4 linked regions of the Arabidopsis thaliana genome follow. The protein of the gene in region 4 interacts with the protein of the main gene of each other region in a pairwise test. Each region holds a gene or a part of one and is shown on either strand. Other genes may lie near its edges. The genes, in order: AT2G39000, bZIP2, CRF8 and NAC066.

Evidence for each region.
Region 1: the proteins of NAC066 (region 4) and AT2G39000 interact in a two-hybrid assay, tested with the Arabidopsis thaliana proteins (one large-scale study listed by BioGRID).
Region 2: the proteins of NAC066 (region 4) and bZIP2 interact in a two-hybrid assay, tested with the Arabidopsis thaliana proteins (one large-scale study listed by BioGRID).
Region 3: the proteins of NAC066 (region 4) and CRF8 interact in a two-hybrid assay, tested with the Arabidopsis thaliana proteins (one large-scale study listed by BioGRID).

Annotation. Positions count from the first base shown.
Region 1 is NC_003071.7:16,285,396-16,291,133, reverse strand, and holds AT2G39000 (Acyl-CoA N-acyltransferases (NAT) superfamily protein), read left to right. Parts: upstream 1-2,871; 5' UTR 2,872-3,192; coding exon 3,193-3,364; intron 3,365-3,741; coding exon 3,742-4,138; coding exon of another isoform or gene 4,139-4,196; exon of another isoform or gene 4,197-4,369; coding exon of another isoform or gene 4,370-4,373; coding exon 4,374-4,680; 3' UTR 4,681-4,909; downstream 4,910-5,738. UniProt on the Arabidopsis thaliana protein: Protein acetyltransferase with dual specificity triggering both N-alpha-acetylation (NTA), with a large spectrum of modified N-termini, including methionine, alanine, serine, threonine and to a lower extent glycine and valine as substrates, and epsilon-lysine acetylation (KA) of several plastid proteins.
Region 2 is NC_003071.7:7,896,725-7,901,516, reverse strand, and holds bZIP2 (basic leucine-zipper 2), read left to right. Parts: upstream 1-2,274; 5' UTR 2,275-2,713; coding exon 2,714-3,229; 3' UTR 3,230-3,505; downstream 3,506-4,792. UniProt on the Arabidopsis thaliana protein: Transcription factor that binds to specific DNA sequences in target gene promoters. BZIP2-BZIP63-KIN10 complex binds to the ETFQO promoter to up-regulate its transcription.
Region 3 is NC_003070.9:26,820,396-26,825,241, reverse strand, and holds CRF8 (Integrase-type DNA-binding superfamily protein), read right to left. Parts: upstream 2,726-4,846; 5' UTR 2,366-2,725; coding exon 1,880-2,365; 3' UTR 1,571-1,879; downstream 1-1,570. Other genes in the region: AT1G71140 (MATE efflux family protein), read right to left, coding at 1-158, 238-480; GLIP6 (GDSL-motif lipase/hydrolase 6), read left to right, coding at 2,822-3,068, 3,168-3,307, 3,382-3,847, 3,935-4,170; AT1G71110 (uncharacterized protein), read right to left, coding at 4,390-4,812.
Region 4 is NC_003074.8:22,927,597-22,932,972, forward strand, and holds NAC066 (NAC domain protein 66), read right to left. Parts: upstream 2,861-5,376; 5' UTR 2,812-2,860; coding exon 2,640-2,811; intron 2,430-2,639; coding exon 1,597-2,429; 3' UTR 1,410-1,596; downstream 1-1,409. Other genes in the region: AT3G61920 (UvrABC system protein C), read right to left, coding at 5,042-5,376. UniProt on the Arabidopsis thaliana protein: Transcription activator of genes involved in biosynthesis of secondary walls. Together with NST1, required for the secondary cell wall thickening of the anther endocethium, which is necessary for anther dehiscence.

The sequences.
Region 1 (5,738 bases), on a different chromosome or scaffold from region 4:
CATGTAGACTACTTGATACGAGGCTTTGTGTTGTGCGCAATATCCTCATAGCCGGAGCTAAACCTTTAAAGAGAAATTTTAAAATATAAATTTTGGGTTTTTAATTTTTCTTTCTAACCAAGTAACTTTAATACCCGAATATGTTTAGGTTTAGTATAACTGTCAACCATTATTTATTTTTTTCCTCATATCACCATAATTACAGAAAAATGATAGAATGGTTGTATTCATGTAATTAGCGTAGATTCTTAGATTTCAGTTCTTAAAAGACCAAAAAAAATGCAAAATAACAGACACTGATAGATGTTGCAAAGTAATGAAAAAGACTACTTAAAATGAAAGAGTCGTCGCTCATACATTTAACGCAGAAAATATAAGAGTAATTTAAAATGCAAATTGGACCGACCTTTAGTCGAAAAGTTTAACGCAGAAAAATAAAAGTAATTTAAATGCTATTACAAATTGAAACAAAGAATCAGATTATTTGACGAGCAACAGTATATACAAATGACATGACAGTGAAATGGGGCGAATGTATCTGAAAGCTCTCCTAATCAAGGAGTCAACAATCACCTATTTAAGAATGTACGTTGTCTAATACTTGAAATTTTACGTTTTTGTTTTTCTTTTCAAATTTAAAACTCTTGCCGTATTTAAAGATACTGGTCATTAAGGTGGCCATGGAACTAAACACAGCCTGAAAGAAAATTTTCAAAGATTTTCCCAACCCCAATAGGAGAGCTTGCGATGGGATTGAATTTACCACGATTATTATATTTTCTGAAAAAAACCTTTTATTCCCAACATTTGAAATGTTTCATATGTGGAGCAAGAATTACGATATGAAGAATGGAGAATGAGAAACCATATAATTTAATAAATATTAACATGAATATCATCCACTTTTATTAACACAGGATCAAATGACTGTTTTTTTGGGAAGACGATCGACCTCCATGAACCATGAACATTAAATCTTGTCCACGTGGTGTCCGTGGTAGACCCATCTAATTTACGTAGCTAGGCCCGTCCATGGCAGAGTAGGATTGGACACCAAGATAAATACAAGAATATATTTGAAGCGAAGCATTTGGCGGATTATAGAGTTCTACAAGACTACAACAGATGATGCATCACTTAATAATACCAAAAAAAAAAACAAATGTCCCACTTAATAATCGAGCGACGACCATTATTTTTTTCTGTAAATAAAATGAAAATGAATTGCTTCATGAATTATATTACTCATTTTTCCTAGAGATGGGACCGTTCATAAAAAGTATTACGGATATACTGATAGCAAAACATTTTTTTTTTTTCTACGCAATTTTGTAATTTACAACTTATCTAAACACATTCGGATTCATTGTAATATTAATTCTATGTATACAATTCATCTTCATCCATATTTTTATAACATCTTCTTGTTTTGAATTTTTATTTTTTACATGAGTCACATGACTATAAGTCAATAATATCATTTTGCTGCTAATACGTGCTGTAATTAAAAAAGAAGAAGCAAAAAGACTCAAATTGTTACTATAAACAAGAATGTTTAAAACACGTGAAAAAATTGGTATAGGGCTGCTTAAAAGTAAAAAACAATTGCGTGAAATACAAAGGCTTCATTTAAGGTTCTCCATTCTTTGTTCCGACAACTTTATTGTTCATAACAAATAGCTTACCCAAAACGGCTTAAACAAACATTCGATAAAGTATTAATTAATGTAAGGAAAAAAAAAGTAACAGAACAATAACTATTAAAAAGTGACCCATGTAAGATATCGAAAATGATTCTGCATTTTTTTTTAAAAAGATGAAGAAGTGAATCTTCTGTCGCGGAAACTTCTAAGCAGGAGACATGGCATCTGGACACCACACGGTTAGTACACTTCTATGATGTCGGCGAGAGACGTGGCGACATTTGTGGATCGTGATGAGCTTGTGGTTGGGTCGGAATGTACATTGTCTTTTTGGATAATGGTTTTGTGGCTCACCAAATATCATTGGATTAGATCAGAACTTCGAAATCTAACTTGTCCACGTCAACTTTTCACTGAAATTTCTTTCCTGTAGTTTGTTTCTTTCTCATTATTTAGATGGAAGTTTTGACAATTCAAGCGACATCAATATAAAGTATTTTTGTTTGGGATTTAAGGATGGTCTCCTACTATTTCAAATTTGTGATGAGTTTAGTGTCGACTAAAGGGAAAAAGTTATATTCGTTTTTGAATTTGGATGTTTTGAATTCGTAAAAAAAATATAAACGCGCTTAGCTTATTTGTTTTATTTTCTACATGTAAATTTAAATTTATAAGAAAATTGCATAATATGGTGGAATAAGTACTGATTTTAAGGAAATTTATAAGAAAATAAATTGTAATTTATGATGAAAATAGTTAAATAGCTAAAAAAATTAGCGGATTAAATCCAAATACAAATCATGCAAATCAGATTTCTACGTCACATTGGTGTGTTTATGAAAATCCAAATACAAAACATAGATAAGTAAACTTACAATAAACTGATAACAGTAGTCTTCGTAAAGTTCAAATACGAAGCATTTTTTTTTTGTGGAATGATGAATGGTAATGGTATAATATGATGAAGATGATGATGATGAATGCGGTGGGTGAAGATGATGATGGATGATGTTGATGATGGTGGTGGTCATATGGTGATGATGGTGACATATGCTGATGTTATATAATGTTGATAATGATGATGATGCTTGTATGAAGATGGGGATTGGGGATGATGTTTATGGTATGATAATGATGTTGTTTATGAAGACGGATGATGCGGTGTGGATAGTGTTCATCTCTTTTCTTGTTTTGGTTGCCAAACCATTTCACTACAGATTTTTTTTTTGGCATAACAGTAGCTACAAACTTTTGAAAAAAGAAAGAGCAAATTTGATTCTAGACGTTTTGGCAATGTGGATTGGTGGGGTAAAAAAAACGTGTGAATTGGTGGGAAAAAAAAAGAGTTTATTTCCCTAACGCGAATTATTAAATAAAAAGATTACTATTAGTGAATAGTGACTTAGGATAATCCTGCTGGTTCTTTATTAAAATCGTGATTGGTGCGATTTGACCGGTCGAACCGGCCGGTTTGTTGTTAAAATCGTTTGTGTTGGGTAAGAAATAAAGATAGCTAGAGAAGCAGAAAAGGCACGGCGAACGGAGAAAGATGCGGAGCACACCGTTGGGGACGACGGCGGTTTCACCAGCTTCAATCAAACACAACTCTTATGGGTATGGCCGCTTCGTTTCCTCTTCAGGAGTCTCTAATTTCTCTATCCATCGTCGGAGACGCCACTCGTCGTTTTCTATCTCTCAAGCTCCTTCACAAATCAACTCAGGTTTGATGATGAGCTATGATTTAGATCGAGTTCCAATTCTTAAGCCATCCCCAGATGAATTCAGTTAGATGCTCTCTAGTGTAATTGACCATGCCTGATTGAAAGATTCAATTTTAACTCATTTTTCAACGAAACAATTGATTGCGCATGTTTGCTTCATGAAGCTTTAAATTTTCAGGCTTTTGCATGATTTCAGCAAATCAGTTGTTTTATTAAACCTGAGGACCTCTTGTCACTGAGTCTTTTAGGAATAGTTTAGAGTTTTCACCGGGTTTGAGATTCTGGTTACAGAAGAAAAGTGTGAACATAGTTGTTGCTTCTATCAATGGGTGATAAATTTGTTCTTTGATGAATATATTTGTTATCTTTGTATGTAGGAGCTTGCAATGCAAGTCAAATAGTTGATCTTTTTCCAGCGGTTTCACCTGAAATCGTTGTTCGTGAAGCACGGTTAGAGGACTGTTGGGAGGTGGCAGAGACTCATTGCAGCTCTTTCTTCCCGGGATATTCGTTCCCGCTTGATGTTGTTCTAAGAGTAGATAGGTTAATGGCAATGGTGATGGGATTTTCTATTCCACCTGGGTGCCAGAGGACTTGTTTAGTGGCTGTGATAGGTAGTTCAGTAGATGAAACCATCTGCTTTGGAAGTGATGATTTCAAAATTGGAGCTTTTGATGCAAAGATCAGCTTAAACAAAGGTTATGTTGCTGGAATCTTGACTGTTGATACTGTGGCTGATTACCTTCCAAGAAAAGGACCTCTCCGCCAGAGAAGGTTCGCTTTTCGCCTTAGCTTTTATTTCTGTCGTCAAGCACTGTGCCTCTGTTCTTAAGACTAAGGACCTAGTCTCAAAAATGTGCAACTAGGATAACATAAAGTTTCGCAATCTTTAGCTAATCTTGGTGAAAGAAGGATCTTGTCATTTTTTGTTGGGAATGTGTTGTGCTCGGATCTGGATTCGTTTATTGTCTTATAATGATTTGATGGTGTGTTCCTAATTTAAAGCCAGGACCGGGATCGCTTATGTATCAAATGTGGCAGTTCGAGAGAATTTCCGGCGCAAAGGAATAGCCAAGAGACTCATATGGAAAGCAGAGGCTTTAGCCAAGAACTGGGGATGTAGAGCTATCGGCCTTCACTGTGATCTCAACAACTTAGGAGCAACTAAACTTTACAAAGATCAAGGTTTCAGATCCATCAAGATCCCTGAAGGAGCGACTTGGCCTCAACCGAAGACATCTCCTGACACCAGGTTTACCTTCATGATGAAGCTAGTGAACAACAACAATACACAAGCTCTTGAACAGTTTCGGTAAATCCGAGGAAAAAGGAAATTTGAATTCCGTTTGTTGTTGAAATATAGCTCTGATTATGTAATTGTAAATATGGTTGCAGTCTTGTGTAAATGCTATTGTCTATAATATTTCGACCAAATACGCTTTTTCAGTTTTTAAGGTCTTGTAGCACCGTGAACTTTTTGCTTCTCCCGCAAGCATGTTTCAAGACATTCCAAGTCTTAGCCATACTTGATTTATATACCAATGTAATAAAAAAAAACATCTAAAATCGCATTCGTCGCACTATGCTAATTAAGATCCATAGTTTAAACCTACATAGCGTATTCGAAACTCAAGATTAATATCACTGGAACAAGAAGAAATCGGCATGGAAGTCATAAAGATATCACACATTGGACATATTATTGTGTGAAGAAATTCTGACGCCACTAACATGTAATTTTATCTGTCGAACATACTTAGCTTCATTTTCTATATCTCAAACTTGTATTTTACGAACTCCTTTCTGCAAGGCAGCAAGTTTGATGATATTGAGCGATTCTACCAAATCATCACATAGTACATGAGGGTCTGGAATCACTGTTTTGTCGACTGCTAGATTGATGATAATCTTGTTTATGTAGCTCACGAAATAGATAATAAGAGCCTTGTTCAACAACAAACATAAACAAACTGTTAGTTAATTTCATCAAAGTTTTCTATGATTTCTAAAAAAGTTAAACTGATATACAAGTAGGGCATGAGGCGCATGATTAGTATACTTACTTGTGATCCACCCAATGAACTTGCTATTGCTGCTATGTAAGATATTTGATGAACAAAAAAATCTTGTTTCTTCGTCTGGACCCATCAAACTTGTTTCCTTTTTCATAGCTATCCTGATTATTCTCCAACTTTGCATTTAGCCACACTTTCCTCTTATACTACTGTTCTTTCTTTTTTTCCTATGATCAATTTGATTAAATGCTTTGGCAGTACACTTTGTTATTTTTGTGACTTAGCTTATGTCTTATTTTTTGTTCTATTTTACTATCTAATATCGCATTGATTGCATTACTAGTTTGGAGATTTAACGA
Region 2 (4,792 bases), on a different chromosome or scaffold from region 4:
TCTCATAATTAATTAGGTTTAAATTAAAACTGGAACTTTGACGTGTATTAAGAGCCGCTCATTGAGAACATGGATTGTGCAATGCACGTGGTTTCGTACGGTGCAGATCTACAAAAGAGATTCTGCGTCAAAGACGGTGTCGTGCACTGTTGTTGTCTAAATTTTGTAGGCGGTGAAATTATGAAAGTTGTCTACTAACGGTAACTAAATTAACTACCAACGGTAAATAAATTTTGTCTCAGGTGAAGGGAAATTATTAAATTTGTCTAGCCTTTTTACCCGCTATAAGTTACTATTCAGCGTGGGACGAAAAAAAAAAAAATTACTACTCAGCGTGGTGTGCCGACATAAAAATAATTACTCGTGTAAAAGAAAATAAAAACTATGAAATACTTGAAGTCGTACTATTAAATTATAATTTCCTTGGTTAATATCATCGCTGTATCAAAATTTAGATTTAAAATATGATCAATGATATAATTTAAAATATATATATAACGTATGATAAAACGATCAACTTACATTGTTAAGTGTTTCTAGAGCATTTTAAAAACATATTCTATAATTTCATATATAACATTTTGTTCATAAAACTTAGGTAAATTTGATCTCGAATCTTTAAAACAACCAAAATATTGTCCACAAAAATTCGGTGTAATATTGAAGGTTGTTGTTGTTCATGTTCTTGATTACTTTTCAATTCTCTACATTTTTACATATTGTTTCATTTAGAAAAGGAGTTGGTTGAATTGTGGTTTATCACTTAATTTTTATTATTTATATGTAATTTATTTTTAATATAAGGTTTTATTAATTAATTTGCCTGTAGTATTGTTTTAATGTATGTTTATAGTTATTCATCAAACAATTGTGATCAATATAAAGATTATCCGACCGTTAGACTCGTCACAGGAAATTTTTCTGAAGTTGAATTTCAAAAGCTCAAACAATTAAAACGCGTAATGATAAGTGTTGTAAAATGTTATAGAATTAAATTTAAAATTGTAAACAAAAAGATATACAAATAAAGAAATGATGTTGATGATGATAGTGCTTTATTTTCTTATATTTTTTGTGTGTCTTTACCAATAAGAAAAGAATAATCCATTTTTATAGATATGAAAATTTAGTAAATCAATTGAAATTATTACAAATGATGTAGTGTAGTTATTTTGAAAATGGAGTAAACATTATCTGTAGAATATGAATTAATGATACGTGTTACATGTATTAGACATTCATTGGATTTGTAACAATTTATAAATAATTAGAAACATACTTCAGATTTATCTCTTATAACTATATTATAACTTTTTCTAACAATTTGTGACAGTTTTCGTTTCATTTTAGTTCTTACCTTCAGTAAGATCAGCTTTTATTTTGTGTTAAACAAATTCAACAACTCGTACAAACACTTTATGAGACTTTTCAATAATTAAGACGAACAACAATGATCTAGTACACACAAATTAGATACTAACATTTTTAGTTCGAAATCATTTACTAAATTCAAAATTTTGATATCAATCACATGGCTCGAAATTACTGTATTAGATTGAAATATCAGAGCACATATCAATCCCACAAATCCTCATGAATTTACTTAATCCACATACTTTAAATTTTATTTTTAAATATTCTATATTTTCTTAAAATGTTGGCTGAAATAATGTTTTACAAAATTTTATTTCGTTGGAAAATTATTAAATTTATCACCTTCCTATTTGATATCACTTTTAATTCACCAATTGTATGTATCAAAATATTCAAAGCCATTGACTGAATTAATGGCAACAAAAATTATCAAAGATTTTCTGTAATTCCTACATTGACTACATGCAATTTTCAAGACATTGACTATTTTCAATAGTTTTCACTCTTTTTAATCTTGATATCTGGTCAACTTTTACCACCTACCTATTTGTCTATCCTACTACATATCATTAATCACACCATTAAACCACACAAATCTATACTTACCATTAATATTTTTCTTTTGAATACCAAAAAAACAATCAAAAAGTAAAGTGTCATTACCAAAAAAATAAAAAAGCAACATCCACCTACTGACCTACATATTTTTTTTAATAAAATTATAATGAATCATTTTGTTAGTAAAAAATAAAAATGATAAAACAATGGGCGCGTAAACGATTCCAGCTTTCCCCACCATCCATTATTTCCCAAAAAATCAAAATAAATTAAAAAGACACAAGTGGATGCTTGAGATTTGGTTTCTATATAATCCATAACACACCCTTCATCAAAAACCTCTTTCCCATTCACTCATCTTCTCTTCCTTATCTCCTTAAAAATCTTCTGCTGTTTTCTTTTTTATATTTAGAGCTCCTCTGTTTCTTCTCCAATAACCAAAAAAAAAAAAAAACTCTTCCTCTGTTTGTTTTCAAGTTCTGACATCATAAATTCAGACCGAGAAAACATAAAAATTTGAGTCTTTTGATGATCGGAAACTGATGACTCCCGTTCTCTGCGAAATCCTGCTCTCTGGGCTCACGGTCAAATCTGCTCTCTGCCGTAGAACCCATCTCGTTCAATCTTTCTCCGTCGTCTTCCTCTACTGGTTTTACAACGTTTCATGAATTGCTACAAACTCTAATTAATTTTTTCAGACAGATCATAAAAAAAAACCAAACATAAAACATAAAACTCTGTCCTTTTTTTGTCTTCTTGTAACTTTTCTTGTTAAAAATCAATGGCGTCATCTAGCAGCACATACCGGAGCTCAAGCTCTTCCGACGGTGGTAATAATAACCCGTCGGACTCCGTCGTCACCGTCGACGAACGAAAACGTAAAAGAATGTTATCGAACAGAGAATCTGCACGTAGGTCAAGGATGCGTAAACAGAAACACGTTGATGATCTAACGGCTCAGATCAATCAGCTATCAAACGACAACCGTCAGATCTTGAACAGCCTCACCGTAACATCTCAGCTTTACATGAAGATCCAAGCCGAGAACTCTGTTCTCACCGCTCAGATGGAGGAGCTTAGCACCAGACTCCAATCTCTCAACGAGATCGTTGATCTTGTTCAATCCAACGGTGCAGGATTTGGTGTTGACCAGATCGACGGCTGTGGTTTTGATGATCGTACGGTTGGGATCGACGGATATTACGATGATATGAATATGATGAGTAATGTTAATCATTGGGGTGGTTCGGTTTACACTAACCAACCCATTATGGCTAATGATATCAATATGTATTGATTAATAAAATTAATTAAAATAATTAGATGCCCCTTTTTTGTCTTTTTATTTTAAAATTTAGCCCATTTTGGTGTTTTTGGGTTGGTGTGATGATGTAATTATAGTACATGCATCTTTGATTGGTTGGAAGGATAAATATAAACTTTATATATATATTGGGGCATATATATATGAGTTGTACTTTGTCATGTATTGGTGTGTGTTTTGTTATAATTATATGATTATATATGTTTATGTTATCATGATTTTGTCTTTCACCTTAATATTCCAATTGTTTATTCGGATAATGGTTTGTTTATGCTTCGAGAAAAGCAACTTTTTGGATTGGTAATTTTTAAGAATGAAAAAAATCACATTTTGGATTGATGATTATATATATATATATATATAAGCTGCATTTACAATTAAGTTTTGGTTTTTCTGCAAATAACAATAAAAAGGAACTTCTAGATAACATGTCAAATCTACCAAGTCAAATTTCACCTGTAATATAATTCGTTGTCAGCAACGTAAGTGCTAAATAATGATCAATTATATAACAAATAGAGTTCCTTGCGACTAGGAGAAATTTATCATAATGTATGTGAAAAATAAAAGATCTTCAAACATATATATGATGCTTATATGTTTAGAGGGTTTTGTTGCAAGAACCCATCATTTTAATATAAGATTATGGTTTTTTTAGTTAAAACACAGATGAGCAAATCTTAGGTGTATGATAATTATTTAGAAATGTATTAAAACCTTCGTCAGTCAAACATTTTTGCTTAAAAGTATCATTCATACAAAAGGACATAAATTTAAAATTCAATGATTTTTCCTTTTTTTCAAATGTAATAACACCAGTGATAAAGTTTATTGTACGAACGCAAAACGTTCATATTAATGATGGTATCTTGAAGATTTATTTGTATTTATTACATATGTGGCCAAGAAAACATATAACGTCAATTTAGTTTTATTGCTTTTGCATTTATCTTTTCTAAGAATCTCTATGAATATATTGTATTATAGATATATATTGTGTATATTATATAATCTATATTTTTTTTTTTAATATTAGATGTTTCAGGGTCAGGGCATATGAACGTAATCTATTCTTTTTTTTAAGAAAGCAAACTTTTTCCAACACGAATTTAATCCGTGACTTCAAACATTTCCATATTTACGGTACACTTGTATTATTGTGAGTGAATATGGTTTATGTTTATCCTTTATCTTTTTGAATCTTATTATATATAAAAAGGTTGGTGTTGTGTCTTTACGATTTTAATCTTAACTTTATGTTATATGAAGACATATATGAAAACGATATATAAACACCAACAAAATAAAAATAATCATTATTGGATGTCCTATTCTCTTCTCGTATATGTGAAGCTTTACACTTGCTGAAAATTATTGGCTGTTTCTTCTGATTTGTTCAATATATATATATATATATATATATATATATATATATAAATGATCTCATCACAAACGATGGGCTATTATTTTTCGTATATGACATGAGACAATTATTAGGTATGCCTATATATGAATGAGCACTTTTGTTTGTTTGCC
Region 3 (4,846 bases), on a different chromosome or scaffold from region 4:
GAAAGTATATCACCAATGTATGTCCAGAGAAGAGAGAGAGGAATACACACAAGAAACAAAGAGACAATTCCTGTGTAAGTATGAACACCAAGCTTCTCATATTGCTTAGCTCCATTAGCTTGACCACATAAAGTTTCCAACGCACTAGCCAATCCAAACTGTGTGATTACCACAACCACAATTTAGAATCTTAAGCTAATAAAAATGAAAAAGAGAAAGATCAAGAAAGAGACATACAACGACGCTGAAACCGGTGACGCTGCAGAAAGAAACAGCAATGGCGGTGCTAGAGAGGAAAAGCTCACCGAGATGACCAACCATCATTATAGATATCACCTGAAGAACATACATAGACGAGTTCACTGCAATCATCGGACCGGCGATGTAACTAAGTTTCTTCGTTTCCCGCAAAAACCCATCTTTCTTGTTTACTTCTTCTCTGTCGCTCACAACAAGCAAGCCCTTCTCCGCCGAATCCATTCTCTCTTCTTCTTCCCCTGAGATTTGTTGTTTCAATCTAATACTTTAACCTCTTTCTCCGAATCAACCCTATACTTTATATACTAATATTATATGATATCTTCTGTGGAATTTATAGCGGCGTGTCGTATATTGATTCTACACCTCGAGATACAGATACATGCGTCGTCCTCTCTTATTCAGCCGCCATAAATTCTCTCTCGATCTAAATAATGGCACTTGATTATAGCAAATTAAGAAAAGTCTTTGTTAAAAAAAAAAAACTTTACATGCAAATCACCAAAGTACTATACAATAATGCGTTGAAATATTATAATCTTAACTTGTTTAATTAGTCAAGCGGTCTGTTAAAAATTTAATTAATTACAATGTTGATTCATTGATTCATTTTGAATATAAGTATGTTACTTCCTCATAAAGGTATCAAAACGAATCAAAAACAAAATTTTCTCTGTTTTGTTTTTTTATTCATTTTGATATCAAAAATCTTCCTCTTTAAGGTATCAAAAGATTTGTTCAAAAAAGAAAAATCTTCTTGTTTATCATGTGAAGTTTGTGAACCAATCAAAATTTATCTTCAGATCCTTTTTTTTTTCAATTTCATAATCGTAAGTCAAAAGAAAATATCTGTTTGCTTTTTTTCTAACGCACTTGTGTTTCCTCAAACTTATTATTTTTAAACTCATGTGCACGTACATGTAAACATTCATTTCCTCTCTTTTTCTTTTTTTTCTTGTCAAAACATTCATTTCCTCTTTAGTCACTACTATTATCGAAAACATTCATTTCCTCTTTAGTCATTACTATTATAGTATTATAGAAGATCATATATATCATGTGTATGATGAAGTCTCTTGGTTTAGCTGATCTCTTCATGTTCTTTATTACTTTCTTTATCTCCAAACCCCTCACCCATGGCCATCAGTCTTCAACAAGTCAAAGTAAATTGATAAATTCAGTATTTTTCATTAGACACCCCAAAGTATAAAAATGTATCGTTGATACGGTGATACAAGAACCAAAAGATGGAAAGATATATAAAGAATTTTCAACTTTTCATCAACCATCAAAATATAACTCTGATCCAAGTCATTAACGTTCAATTTGGTTAGAGTTCTGTTCTATTATGTGTTGATCCATAAATGGTAAAAAGATTGAATAGTATACAAATAAAAAGAGCCTATTTCAACCCAAACTTTTCTTTCCTAAACGTTTTAAAAATTCAAAAAAATTTGTACCTTAAAATTTGTGTGTAAATCAAAATATAGTTCATTTCTCGAGTTTCATATATATACATAGACGAAAGACATCAAGATCATACACAACATCAGAAGATGAATTTACAAAATACGAGAGAGACCTTCTTGCTAATGCTAACAACTAAATTACCAACCCCACTTCACGCGCCTCTAGCAACCTCAGAAGCTCCAATCACCGTCTTATCCTCTTGATTCTCCGCCGGCAAACCAAAATTGGTCGGCGCGTGAGGTCCAATCAGCTTAATTGAAGCGTTATCATAAGCTAGAGCAGCTTCCTCAGCAGTGTTAAAAGTACCCAGCCAGAGACGATCACGTCGTCCTTTACAAGCTCCTCTTCCACATCTGATCTCCGCCACCCACTTCCCCCACGGCCTCTGCCTCACTCCACGATATTTCTTCTCCGTTTTCGCCGTCTTGAGAAATTCCGCCGGGATCCTGATTTTGAACCGTGTTTTGCAGACATCGAGTTTATCGGCGGAATCGGAAGGATCGATTACGATCTCTTTAACGAGGCGTTTCCCACGGCGCCGAGTCTGGGATGCTCCTCCACGCTCCTCCGTGTCTTCGTCGCTAGAAGAATCGGTGGCTTCTGCGTCGGTGAATGAGATTCTGATAATACGCTTCATAGTGAATTTGCGGAAATTAGGGTTCCGTCTTCGTCTCCATTAAAAGGAAAGCATTTGAGAGAAAGAATATGTTTTTATTCTTTCAGAATCTCTTTTTCTGATGCTTTTCATCTTTACTTATTTACTTCTCTATTTTTTTCTAACCAATCCTATGTGGGCCGTATGGGCCTCAGAGCTGAAAATGCAGTAAAATCCATGAAATTTCTCAACATGGCTTGAAGCCCATCTTCTAAAGGAAAAAACGCTTTACTCTTTTTTCCTTCATCTATGTAATAAGAAGCAGAAATTTAGGAATAAGTTTGAAACTTTAATCACACATAAGAGTAAGTGCAAAAACATGAACAATGTTCTTGCCTTCCGTGTCAATTTTGTATATATATATATATATATATATATATATATATATGTGTGTCAGTATATAATCTCCTTTTATATGATTATAAACTCATTTGTCCCATGTCTTCTTCTTCTTCAATGGACTTACTCATGTGTCTGCTTCTTCTAATCTCTCCGGTTGTTCTGGCCAAGTCTTCTTCCACCGTCCCTGCTATCTTTACCTTCGGTGACTCTATTTTTGACGCCGGAAACAACCATTACAACAAAAACTGTACCGCTCAGGCTGATTTTCCTCCTTATGGTTCTTCCTTTTTCCACCGTCCTACTGGGAGGTTCACCAACGGAAGAACCGTCGCTGACTTCATCTGTAACAAATTACCTCCCAACTCGTTAACTAAAACATTTCTTCTTCTGCAAGGAACCTTACTTTTGTCTCTTTTTTCTTTTCTTGACGCAATAATTGCAGCGGAATTTGTAGGCCTTCCATTACAGAAACCATTCTTGGAATTGCAGATTCAAATCTTGAATGGAACTTCAAACTTTTCAAATGGCATTAACTTTGCTAGTGCTGGTAGTGGTCTCTTGCTTGATACCAACAAATTTATGGTAAATATCTACCTTGACCAAATAAAATGTTTGTTTCTTGTGAATCACTCATTAAGTACACATATCAAATGTAGGGCGTGACACCGATCCAAACCCAGCTACAGCAATTCCAGACACTTGTAGAGCAAAACCTTATCGAAAAATCTATAATCCAAGAGTCTCTCTTCTTATTAGAAACTGGTTCTAACGACATCTTCAACTACTTCCTCCCATTCCGAGCTCCTACACTTTCTCCAGACGCTTATGTGAACGCAATGTTAGACCAAGTGAACAAAACGATTGATCAGATCTACAAACTAGGCGCACGCCGCATCGCTTTCTTCTCCTTAGGTCCTGTAGGTTGTGTCCCTGCAAGAGCCATGCTTCCTAATGCCCCAACCAATAAATGCTTTGGTAAGATGAATGTTATGGCCAAGATGTATAATAAAAGACTTGAAGATATAGTGAACATAATCCCCACTAAGTACCCTGGAGCCATTGCGGTGTTTGGAGCTGTATATGGTATCACTCACAGATTTCAAACCTACCCTGCCCGTTACGGTAAACTCAATATAGTTAATTAACTTCCATCTTTGAGATCTTTTTCAAATGTGTCTATGAGAAAGCTGAATCATGTTTTTGGTGAAGGGTTTTCGGATGTTTCAAACGCGTGTTGTGGGAACGGTACACTGGGAGGATTGATGCAGTGTGGAAGAGAAGGATACAAGATTTGCAATAACCCAAATGAGTTTCTGTTTTGGGATTTTTATCATCCCACAGAACACACTTACCGTCTCATGTCAAAAGCTTTATGGAATGGAAACAAAAACCATATCAGACCATTTAATCTCATGGCTCTTGCCACCAACAAGATCACATTTTAATACTTATATCTCCCTTGTATATAGAATTCATAATGAGTTTGTATCTGAATTAAGACTCGAAATCATTGTGAAAACAAAAGCCAGAAAGTGAAACTTCGCTCCACTTCTGGTCTCTTCTTCCTCTTCTACTGTAACATGAACGCTACAAAATGTTTTTATTGTTCTCTTTCATATCATTATGAAATACAATATCTGATTCTATCTAACTATACCTCTATACTATACGCATTCTACAGAAAGCTTAGGTTCGTCATCTGAGTGATGAGTATCCAAGCCGTTACCAAAGCTATCATCTTTTCTTTGAGGGTGTGGATCCGCAAACACTTCCTCCCTTTGGGGGCGGTTCGCATAGAATATCCATAGCACCAGACATAGTAAGACTCCTACGGAGATCAGTCCGAGTCCTGCGTTCACAATCCTCAGATTACGTACTAACGGTGGACAGTAATCTGAGGTAATACTCATAAATGTTTCCCTAACAAAGTTGCAATCTCGGAAGCTAAGCAATGGAGGCGTGTAATGCTCTAGAGCGTAGCTCTCATTCACAGCTGCTACCAACTGTCCAAAGGTATCTGGCGTTACTCTCCCCACGGTGGTGCAGATTCCAGATGGTGTAACCTCGCATTTGTAATTCTCCCAGACCTGAAAAGAGAAGTTTAGTAAGACATGTCTCAGA
Region 4 (5,376 bases):
AGATTACTTGAAACTAATCCATAAAGGGCACAAAATTAGCAATATATACTATATGTTTCGTGTGTTAAATCATACGGCTTTTTGTGAAGTCGGAATTTCCATTGTGTTGTTTACTTCATCAAACAGTTTACGTGAGAGAAGAGGACGTGATGATGCGAGAAAATTATACGAAAATCAAAGTATATTTACATATTCAAGCCGTACCACAACCGAACATTAATTAGTACTTTAAAATCCTATACCGTATATTATATTTGTCAATTCCTAATAAGGGAATAACAAAGAGAAAAAAACAAGGTCTCACAAATTTAAAATTCACGAATTAAGACATCGAGTGGACCTACACTCACAGTCCATTTGATGTCGTTATTGACCTATTAATAAAATGGGCCTGGCCCAATATACTTGTGGTACAATTAATACCAAGCAGAACTCACATGTAACAGCCCACACATTTTTGATATTTCCAATATTTTTTATTAAGGTTTAACCCAAAAAATAAAAAATAAATAACAGTGAGGATATTTGAGAAATCCTCCATTTTGCATCAGCTAAGGTCAAAGAGAAAAGAGAAAAATTAATGCCTCGAATTCAAGTTTCATGTAATTGTTGCGTTTAGTATTTACAACATGATCAATATCAATACATCATTATAATAAATCGAATCTAATTTCAGAAAGCTAAAGTGGAAAATGAAAGGTCAAAACGTTACAGTTATGGAGTCTGTTACTAATATTATCACATGATAAAAAGAAAGATGAGAATATTTGAATCCTCCATTTTTCTTCAAAAGTAAGATTCCGCACCTTGAAAGAGATTATTCAACAATAAGAACGAATACTGTTTGATTAAATGCTATAATTGAAAAATAATGAGTGTGATTAGCTTTGATGGGTAGGTTAATTAGCTACTATTATTAAGCACTTGGTGCATCTTAATCCAAGTTTGTTGGGGTGATTAATTGGGTAATTAATCTATTCCTAATGATGAATGAAGCAAACTATTCAACATCAAACTAAGCATTTACCAACTAAATATCTCAAGTTTCTAGTAAATAAAACTTCAGTTTAATTGAGAGTAAAATGAGAAACTTTGAATAATTAACGTAATGGAAATCATCTGTTCCTAAAGTTAATTTGTCGACGAATTAATTATCATTTTGGTCTTTTGTCTCTCTTGAAATCATAATCAACTTTTGGTCAAAATCCTTTTTTCATATAATTGTAATTAGAAAACACCCGGCGATGCATGTGACAGACTATGATTTCTTACAGTAGAAAATGTAATTGCCTTTTTGTTCATCGAATGGCAATTAAGTTTCAAAAAGACAAAAACTAATATTCTTGATCCAAAGAAATTCAACTATGCAACCAATTCTTTTCTATAAAGTTAATCATGATATAAAATGTACACAGATATAGAGAACTTTTATTTTCTGTAATGATATCACATAACTACGTACTGTAATTATCACAATCTGACCATTTATACCGTAAAAGTTTCAACAACTATATATATGGTATGATGATTATTATATCTTTCTACACAATGTTTTGGTATGTCACTCACTTAGTCACTTCCTCTCTTCCATTTCCGTTATCCACTACCGTTCAACAAGTGGCATGTCGTTCTCGCGAAATCTGCCTCGTTCCATAAATCAATCTCCGGTATATAGTAATCTGGTGTTAAACCGGTATTACAACCGGACCGGTTCAGTCCATGATACGGTGATTGTGAAGTCTCATTAACGGCTGGTATTGAATACGAGTTGGGCCCATTTAACTGTGAGGCAACGAGCCGATCCAAAGCGGCCCAGCTAGTGATGAAGCTGGGATCCATAACTTTGCTGACGTGGCAGTTGTTGACTTGGTCGTCGATTAACCACTGATAACTCGTGATGGTGGTGTTGTTATGGCATTCGAGGTTAGGGAGTTTTAAGAAAGGGTCTAAAACTATCTCTCCTTTACAAGATTGCCCCATAACTTCGAGAAGTTGCTCGATAGTCTCCTCATTGAACGACGGCGTTTTCACCGAACTCGCCGGGCTACTACTAATCATGTTTTTGCAAAGGTTATTTTTCTTGAAAACACGACACACCACCCATCCTTCGTCACTTCCTATGACATCACACGTTTCTACGTTGACGTCATGATCGCCACACGAGGAGATTAATACACTCTCGTCGAGTCTATATTCGTGCATGATCCAATCGGATTTCTGACCATGAGGGGCTCGACCTTTGTAGAAGACAAGCGTCTTTCGCATCCCGATTCTATCACCATTGGTATATATGGTCTTGTCACGTCCCGTCGCTTTCCAAAATCCGACCGTGGTGGCTCTGTTGGTTCTAGTCCCGGTGGGATACTTCTTGTCCTTATGGCTATAAAAGTACCAATCGTTTTGCGGCGTCGTTCCAATCTTACACATCTCTACATAGAAAAAACAAGAGTTGTGTTAAGTTTTGACTGAATTTTGTTACTGCAAATTTTATTATCACAAAAAGTATATATTACTCTGCAAAATTTCCTGAATTCAGAGCTTTAGTTCTTGACTCAACACATGCATTAAAAAACTAATTTAATTAATATATACAAGCCCTATTAATACGTTTCATCAAGAATAAAAGATAAATGATGAACCTTGAATATCCCAAGGCTCGAGCTTGTTGAGATCAATGTCAGGAATAACATCGAGATCGATCTTGATGTTAGAGATTTTCTTGCGGAGGTAATACTTCAAGAGCTCTTCCTCGGTTGGGTGAAACCTAAAGCCAGGAGGTACTTGTGACTGTCCGTTTACTGATATGTTCATTGCTAAAGATAGAAAAAGGAGAAGAAAATAGAACGAGTTTATAACTAACCAAAGTATGTCTATATATATGTGTATATTTTTTACATCAACTCTGCAAAAAAATAAATAATAGTACATGCATGAGAAAATGCATGTGTTCTTTTGCTCTCATATTTTTAATTCCTTTGTTAAGTTTTCTTTTTAACAGTGGAGTATTATTTTTCCGAATATTTGATGTTTTCATTATAAGTTCGCATGAGCCGCCACTTACAATTAAACATATGAGCCTCTAAGAGCTTGTTTTAATAATTTGAAAATGTCTGTTTTATACTCATAGTGAATGCACTTCTCGAAAAATTACTCCCTATGAGTTTTTACTTAATTCTTAGTTCATACCAAGTATATCCAGCCAAAACAAAAAAAAAAAAGTATATCGATCAAGCTTCTTCGGCCTTTGGTTTTGCCGACTTTTCGCTCTACTAATTGCCTAGATTAGCATGTTAGTTTTGTTTTGTTTTTGCTTTTATCCAGAAATCTCTCGTAATGGTTGATTCGTCATGAGTTCACCTAGTATTTAAAAATCTATCTATTTTTCTGCATGATTCAGTATCTCTTTAACAAAGAAAAAAAATATGATTCAGTAAATTAGATCCGTTATAAATACAATGTTGCAATATTTCATCTAATAAAAGTTATAGTAATGTCTCTCTTTTTTTTTTATTTTTTTTTGGGTCAAATATACTAATGGTCTCTTTATTAAACATCGAAATTATTTGCTCTTTTTGTCCGGTGAAATTGTTTATGGCAATTTCGGAATAGTGCGTGAGAGAGAGCGGTGGGACCATGCACGTAGCTATTGGGTAAAAATATGGTCCACGCGGGATCCACATATCAACTATAATGTAGGAAGCAAGCCCACATCGCTCCGATGACCCTCGACCTTAAAAATCTCTATGGACAAGACATTCCTCATTTTATTTTTATTTTATATAGAAACGAATAGTGTTAACAAAAAAAGTGAATGAAGGGTGATGGCAACAAAAAATGTATGTGATGTGATGAAGAAAGACTTTATACATTATTGTGTTAAATACGACTTTAAAGCTCGTAGCTTGTTCTTGTTGAAGGTGATGCGAAGATAATGATATACTACATGATAATCCACAACCTCCTTAGAAGATGGAGAGAAAGAAAGAGATTAAGATCTGATTCAAGAAGCGTTTATCAAATATATGTGAAGTTAACATTGCAACGAATGTCTAAGATTCGAATATTGTGCATGTGGTTCACTCGAACTAATCATAAAGTTAACCTATCTGGTATTCAGGAAACGACGGTGGATTCGATTCATCCAAATTAAAATTTTAAATTATTGTATTAATTTAAACTTGAATGACGGCATGAATCTAGATGAACAGTTGTTTACAACTGTAAGCGAGGAGGTATCTACGTATGTTGTAGATTTTGTGGGGGCCTATTTACAAAAGGTTATTTTCTGAATTTCCTTTTTCTTACACATGGTTTTGAGATTATAATAGATTAATACGCAAGGGCCGTTCAAATTTGCCATGTGCTATAGGATAACATTGTTAATAAAAAATTAAATCATGAGATTAAAATTTTGAGTTAATGAATATTCTGAAATGTCTTTTTCATTTTTCTAACATGGTTCTGAGTTTATAGCAGAGTAATATATAATCTGATTAAAACGAACGTTGTTGCGGCACGGAGCTATGATAAATTGATGATAATTAGTGACAAAAAACTAAAATGATATAATTGAAGTATTACAAATCGTAATTTTTCTAGAAGATGAAGGAAGTTTGCATGGGAAGCAATCTTAATTTGAGGTGTTTCAAAATTTATTAAACCCTTAATGGTGAGACGTCATATAACTATATATATTAGCACTCGTGCTTGTCGGACTTATAACTTTAGCCTAATCTTAAACTGTTTCTGGCCAGCTTTGTGTCATTGGGCCTGAAATAAAAGAGTTTCTCCCTTTTGTTTTGCTCTTCTAGACTTTTGGCATTGAATAGGGAAGATTAAATAATCTCTAACTACGAGTCTACGACTTCATAAATTAATTGTTTCATGAGAGATAACAATGATATTTCAAATATATCTACGTTGATAAACTTATATAATCGTTCCAAGTCTTCAATGAATACGGAAATCAACATACTAATTTAAATGCTTAAATCGTGAAACAGATTAAAACATAAACGTAGTTTATTCATAATTCGAAATTTTACCACAATTTCCCTTTAAAGCTACTCGTAACGCTTAGCTGGTCTGAATTCGCTCTCGAATGAACTCCTCCGCCGCAGCCGTAACCGCCACACTTCGCCACCGTCCTCACACTTTCCACCAACGCTTCCGTTTCCACATCCTCCGCAAGAATTTCCGCCAACTGCTCCGGACTTATCACAAGCCTCACCTTCCACACTCCACAACCACCGCCACTCAAAGCCGCCATTATCGGCGTCTTCCCGAAAGACATTCTGTACGGCGTTGATAGTTGGTCGGAGGAATCCAGTTGAGCGGTCGCGGCTGCGGAAGAAGAAAGAGGAAGGAGGTAGTAGA